Linked DNA regions of Schizosaccharomyces pombe. The gene in region 2 interacts genetically with the main gene of each other region. Each region holds a gene or a part of one and is shown on either strand. Other genes may lie near its edges.

Region 1 (3,933 bases), 470 kb from region 2:
ACTTTGAATTGTCTGCGAACTAAAATTATGTTTATTCACTCTACTTATCGTTGCAATACAATTCAAGTGGGGGATGCTACTAAATTGTAACTGTAAATACAAAATCGTAAAACTTGAAGAATATACCTTGAAAAAATTTTACTCTCGTTTTCTTACTAAACTATCATCCCTGGGTGATATGCGTTAGAATCCGATCTTTGTCAATAAAAAAGTTCAGACGGTCTTCCCGGTAATCTCTTGTCAACAATGTGTCAGGAGATACCACCCTATAAATAGGAGGCCAAAGTTTAATCTCGTCAACTTTATGTCCGATGAATGAAGAGTAGTCATCAACTGCGGCAGGTTTAGTTGCTCGTGCTTTTTTGTTTGCCAAGATGTAAACGGGCTGTGCTGGATTTCTTATGGAGATTTCTCGCGGTATGTGATTACTTAACCATTTTGGAAGGATGGGAATTTTCGTGTTGGAATTAACGGATTCTATAACATCAAAAGTATCATTATATGATTCGGGATCTTCGGTGATTAAATAGTCGAATTGGGAAATAAATAAAGAATTTGAAAGCATTTTAGGATCCTCAGTTTTGTCATAGTACCACGATGGAAGCTGTGAAAATCGAGTTATACCTGTCATACACGGATATACATCCATGTGTACAGAAACTAAGTACGTTAGAATAATCTAATTGGTGAAAAAGTTGAACTTACCTTGGGGATGATTTTCAATTTCATATAAACGAGTTAATGCTAGACCACCAGGGTAAGCGTATTGAAAAACATATAACAAAAAACTGCTTCCAATAAACCCGAAGATTATCCCCGAAAAAAACATTAACCTTAGAATTTCAAATATTTTCTTGCCAAATTTACTGGCATTAAAGCATAAGGAAGCCCCAATTGCACTAGCTGCGTTAAACCAAGGGATCGAATAGATAATAAAGCGCCATTCTTTATGGCCTAAAAATGAATAAACAAATATAAAGAAAAGGGGAACATATATTAAAAGACGAGCAGGCTTGATGTAAACAAAGCTGATTAAAAGGAAGAGCAATGTCGTGGGATTGAGAAATAGCCAAGGAAGTCTCACAAAGTAGTAGTAAAAAGGGCTTGTTCCCCAATCTGAAGATTTCCCTTCAACAACATTGAATAAGAAAGCTTCTAATTCAGGCCAACACCAAGCCCCCCAGAAATAGGAATCAATGAGAAAAGAAGCTCCCACTGCTGCTAATGAAGAAGAAATACCAACGAGTAGCAATTTTGATAAAGTAATCCTCCTCTGAAGCAATAATGGTAGAATCAAACACATTAGAAGTAAAGCTATTTCGGACCTAACAATCGCTGCGGCAAAAACTAAAATACTGATAGAGCCGTAATAATTATTTTTAAGTAACAAAGAAAGAGAGTGGTTCGTAGCTATTAGTCCGAAAATATTTGACAATGGTCTGGACATATAGTACACGAGGTGAAATTGAGCGCAGCTAAACAGTATAAACAGTGCTCCAGACAATGTGCCGAATCGTTTGCTAATGGAGCAGCTTACAGAATTCATACTCTCCCAACTTAAATACCCAATTGTCCATCTAGCGGCAAGTAATGGATTAACAAACCAAGAAGGTATATAGGACAAAACTGCTATAAACAAACTCGGTATGAAACTCCGTTTAACGGCTCCTGGAAACTCCAGATGATCATACTAAAATATGTGAGTAATTTAAATAAGGAAATAATTATCAACTACTACCTTTGACAAATCCCAACGATACGTCTGAATGTCATGAATCGCTTGCATAGCAAACGACTCTTCTACCTTTGTAAACGGAGTTTTGTACGAATAATACCCTATGCATGTCACAAGCAAAATATTTGCCAAATACCAACAAATGCTCTCTTTAGAAGTCATCCCGCTTCATCATTTATTGAAAGCATACAAATAGTTATTGGAGAAAGAGCAAAGGTGAATGAATATACGTAAATAAAGCAACGATTAATTTTGCTAAATCTAGTTTAAGGAGATTCAAGGTAATGATTTATTTGTTATAAACAAGGGTTGTTCGCTGCACTGTCTTCTAACTTTGCATCTTTGTGTACGTTAAGTATCTGCTTCTCCTCTTTTAATCGAACATTTTATATGTTAAATTTTAATTACCTCTACTATTTGCAAAACGAAATTCACATCTTTCATCAAAATTTAATTATTCCTTCTGTTTAGGGAAACTTTGAAAGAATACAACGATCCTCGTTAACTGATTTACCATGGTAGTTTAACGTATAGCGTTTTGGAGGAATATTCATTATAGAAAACGTGCTATTATAATTAAGGTGAGAGATATAATTGCATTTCATTTATTATTTAAACTAATTTTTCTTCTTATCGTTCCTGAAAATCGTTGCTAGTACGGTCTATAGAACGATAGATTCGTCGGTTCCAATAGCATGCTTTACCACGGGTATACACCAAACCTCCCCCCATATCATTACGAAACAGGAATCAATAAAAGCTAACGTCAATTGAACATTATGCTTCGTCAAACGCTAACTCAGGCGTCTCGGATGCGTCCTTGTATATCTGTAGTTGGATTTCGGGGTTTTCACGCTAGGTATGTTGTTTAGGTTTACTTTTTGTGATTCACAAACATATTCGAAGTTGAATGCATTTTTTCTAACGATTTTTTATAGTTCTCCTTGTGAGGCAACGCTAAAAGAGATTGAACAAAGGCTGAAGTCTATTAAGAACATTGAAAAGATTACCAAGACCATCAAAACTGTAGCTCAAACTAAGCTTACTAGGGCTCAACGTGCTATGGAAGCTTCTAACAAATACTATCGTGTATCTGATGAAGTGTTTAAGGAGGCTGGAACTAAAGCACCTGAGGAGGGTAAAACTCTTATGGTTGCTTGCTCTAGTGACAAGGGTCTTTGTGGTGGTATTCATTCTTCAATCTCTCGTCTTATCCGTAGAGAACTACATGATCCTAAGACATTTGAGAACACAAGTTTGTGTATTTTGGGAGAAAAAGTTCGCACTCAATTACTTCGTTTCTGTCCCGAATCTTTCTACTTGACTTTTGCACACATTGGTGGAGCTAGTCCTTCTTTTGAAGAAGCTTTACAAATTTCTAGTAACATTTTGGAACATGCTAAAGACTATGATAGAATTGTTCTCGTCTATAACAAGTTTGCTTCCGCTGTCTCGTTTGAAACTGTGATGAAGAACTTGTATACAACTAAGGCCATCAATGAATCCCCCAATCTCTCTGCATACGAGGTAAGTGATGAAGTCCATCAACCACTCATGGAATTTGCATTTGCCAATGCTATTTTTTCTGCCATGGCGGAAGCTCATTGCAGTGAAATGTCATCTCGTCGTAACGCCATGGAAAATGCAAGCAAGAGTGCTGGAGATATGATTAACAAGTTTTCCATCCAATATAATCGTCAACGTCAAGCCTCCATTACTAACGAACTTATCGATATCGTTACTGGTGCAAACTCTTTGGCTTAATTCTTGATCTCTTTGGTAAGGTTCAAATGCATGTTAAGATTTTTAAATTAAAGAAGTTTGTGAAATATAAGCGCTGAAGTCAACGATATTTCTTGTCTATTTAGCTTAACTTTTTACCTTTATACCATTTGAACCGTAATTCATTGAAAACGTTCAGATTAAGCTTACCTTTTGTTCTTAATAAATTTACGTCCATCTTTTTATCGTAAGTATTTTTCATGTAGAGAATGTTGAAGAGGTTTTTGTAAAGCATGTAAGTGTGCGCAACTTAACTGAGTAGCCATTTGTGATAGCTAATATGGGCTGATCAAGCAAATTTGTTAAGATGACAGAGGAGTCCTAGTATTGTATTGTTTTAGAACTAAATTGAGTAATACATGTGGAAATTAAAGAATGGAAGCACCTGACGCAATAGATTAACAGTTGGAAATATG
Region 2 (3,264 bases):
TTTTGGTACAGGAAACGTGGCTTCACTTTCCACATTCGCTTTGGATTCGGTGAAACGTTTTATTCCTGTATTCAATCCGGTAACACAAGGTGCACTCTTAATGTACACTATTCTGGTTCCATTTATCGCACTTTCGGCAGCTTTTGGAATAATGAACAAACGACTGGGAGGGATTCAGCAAGTTACTTTCTTTTTGGCAGTTGGAATGGCTGATATAGTTACAATTAACTTTTTTTATTTAGTAAAGGACGAAGGCTCGTGGAAGGACATTGGTGTGAGTATTAGTCATTTTTGCATCAGCAACTTTTTGATACTTTTTATTACTGCTCTGGAACATGCAAGCGCGATTCTTTGCAAAAATATTACCTACACTATTCATGAGAAAGTTAATTAAATTTAGATAATATTAAGATAGCTGATACTCGATGAAGTATCGCATCGTTCTCTCTTTTTTTCTTCCCTTACTTATTCTTTATAAATATATATTGGTAAACCGATTATGAGAATGTCTATACATGACCTTATTAACGAAGTAGGTAAATATTAAAAGTATAAAACACTGATAAACGAAGGATTATTTTAAAGAAAATGTGTTTGTATAATTGTAGGCATGCAAACTACTACTAAGGTTCTTGGAGATTATGAGATGTAGTTTATATCCATACAGATTGTAAGGATTATATCAAACGAATGGTGTTGCGAAAACACAAAGTATGAACCCGGAGTGGGATAAAACGTACCAAATAAAAAAGTTTAAAGCAGGATTTATATGAGTGACAAGGAAGAAGTCAAAGGACTTTTCAAGCACAATCAATTAATCATACTCGATAAGACCTTGTTGACCACCATACCGCCGTTTCCATGCGGAAAACCCACCATGAAGGATGTAAACAGTAGGAAGGTTTTGAAAGAGCTTTTCTTTTTGGCTTAAAGAGAGCTTTTCCTTACTTTCTGTTATACGGTTTCTCAAAATTTCTGAAAGTACTCTGGCAGCTTTAGGACCGCGAACTTGAGAATAAGTGCAATGGACGATGAGTGATCTCTTCTTCATGAGATCGTCAACATGCTGATCAACACTAGCGAGAAAAGTGTCGGAAGGAATACGCACACTGCCAGGAATACGTTCTCCTTCGTAATCGTAGTCACGAACATCGATTATGCTAATCTCGTTAGGCGATTCCATTAACCAGCCTTTTAAAGCATCAGGCGATACATAAGACAAAGTAGACATCGTTTACGAAAGGCTATAAAAGTGAATTAAAAGCAAAATGAACAACTATCAAGTAGCTGAATTGAAGCAAACGGCTATGTAGAAAAAAAAATTCAGTTAGAAAAGTAGAGAACACCAAACACAATAGTAGTAGCTACAAACTCGCTTAAGTAAAGATTAAAAGAGGGAAATCAAATAGTCTGGTATTATTAATAGTATCCGTTTACAAGGTATGTATTTCTCGTCTACTGAAATATATTAGTGGTAGAAAACAAGGATGCCAATGTCTCAGAACGAAGTCTGTAGCGTGGTACGTTACATCCAGTACTGGATTTTGAGATTTTGGAATCACAAACATGAGAACATGTATGAGATAATCGGTGTCGTTTCCTTTTATTCTTTTTTTATTTTTTTAATTATTTCTTTGCATTTCAGGGCCGAGTTTGTCATTTGGGGTTGTGTTCAGTTTTGTTAATGTAAATAAAAAAGGCTAGTAGGAATGTCGCAAATTTATGGGCATCGTTGCGACCAAGATCTTCTTCTTTATTTTCTTAAAATGCTGGAATAAAGAGGCATTTGTAGAATCCGCTTTTCTCTTCAACAGATTCTCTATTGACTTAATGAATTAAACCGATTAATCGAAAATTTTTATATCGCGATAACGAGGAAATGTGTTTACAGCTAACTCATTAATTATTTGTATATACTACCTGTAGAATAAAAAAATTAAAAGGGATATTTTTTTACTTCTAAATTTGCTATGTTAAGCCATATTGATTAAAGTGAATAAATATATAGCTAGTTGCGACGTGAAATGATCGGCCAACATTATTTAAAGATATTAGTCTAAAGTGACTTGTATTTATTCTTTTTGGTCTTTTTATTGCTTTAAGAAGCTTAACAAAAAACGGACTAGAAATTATAGAAAAAATGAAAGAAAGTATGAAACAAGGAAATCAACAAGAAAAGCGATTAAAGGAACTTTTCCTCAAAATAAAAAGGAAGTAATTATAAAAATGAGAAGAAAATTAATTAGTAGAGCAGAAGATGAAAGAGGATCTTGCCATTTACCATTCACAGCAAAGAAGTCTTTCATTAGTAAACGTCTTTAAACGATTAAAAAAGAAGAAGAAGAAGAAAAAAAAGGATTTATATGAGCATGCAATAATTGTAAACAATATGATCATTTGATTTTGCCTTTCGTGAAACTATTTTTTAATATGCCTTTTTCATAAACAAACAATAAACACTATAATCAACCAACATTTTCCCAAATTCCCAATTAAAGTCATTGATCGGTATAATCACGATCATCAAAAAAAAATTATAAATCCTTTACGATTTGTCGGTTCTGTGAAAACGATACACTCACGCATATTCATATACATATTCATGGCAAGAAAACATTAGGCTCTTCGAGACTGCAAAAACAAACGATGCTCTAAATCCTTTTCGGACAATTTGGATTCAGTGGTAATCGTATTACTGAGCGTTCTTCTAAACTTTCCTTTTTTCTGTGGATTGGTCAAGCTTCTTCGAATGCTTTTCCAAATTTCGACATAAAAAAAGTAAAACATCACTGCAACGGCAACAACTCCCCATTCCCATCCAATATACGTATGCTTGAAAACGTCTCTATTAATAACAGGAATGTAGATGGTAGGAAACACCGAAACAGCTGCAAGGGCAATGGCCCAAGCGAGGAATTTGTTTTCAACCAACGTATGGAGAAAATAACGGAAGTTCCATTCACCCCAAGGAATCCCATGAAGGTTGAATAGGGAGTTGTCAAAGTTTTTCACCTCGACTGCCATAATAAGGATGCAAAAGGTCACAACTGCAAAAACAGCAGACCGTGCTTTGAAAACATCGTTGCATCCAGCATGATAGTGGGCATTGCAATCATATGATAAATTGCCTGTACCGAATCCATACATTATGACAACCCAAGTCATAAGACTAACGACTCCAAGGAAAAATCCATACACCATCATGTCAACAATTAGACTCTTTTGGAAAATACCAACTTTGTTGTCGTGAGGGAGACGCTCCAT

The links.
Region 1: mutations in ibp1 (region 2) and alg12 together harm fitness more than expected from each alone (negative genetic interaction), as found in Schizosaccharomyces pombe (one large-scale study listed by BioGRID).

The regions. Positions count from the first base shown.
Region 1 is NC_003423.3:1,083,422-1,087,354, forward strand, and holds the start of alg12 (dolichyl-P-Man:Man(7)GlcNAc(2)-PP-dolichyl-alpha-1,6-mannosyltransferase), read right to left. Parts: upstream 1,934-3,933; 5' UTR 1,898-1,933; coding exon 1,739-1,897; exon of another isoform or gene 1,691-1,738; coding exon 706-1,690; intron 661-705; coding exon 164-660; 3' UTR 1-163. Other genes in the region: F1-ATPase gamma subunit atp3, read left to right, coding at 2,515-2,594, 2,674-3,499. UniProt on the Schizosaccharomyces pombe protein: Mannosyltransferase that operates in the biosynthetic pathway of dolichol-linked oligosaccharides, the glycan precursors employed in protein asparagine (N)-glycosylation.
Region 2 is NC_003423.3:610,637-613,900, reverse strand, and holds ibp1 (Cdc25 family phosphatase Ibp1 ), read right to left. Parts: upstream 1,483-3,264; 5' UTR 1,232-1,482; coding exon 815-1,231; 3' UTR 582-814; downstream 1-581. Other genes in the region: its8 (pig-N family GPI synthesis protein), read left to right, coding at 1-394; P-type calcium transport ATPase Cta3, read right to left, coding at 2,617-3,264. UniProt on the Schizosaccharomyces pombe protein: May play a role in DNA replication checkpoint via regulation of hsk1 or may act downstream of hsk1 in an S phase regulatory pathway.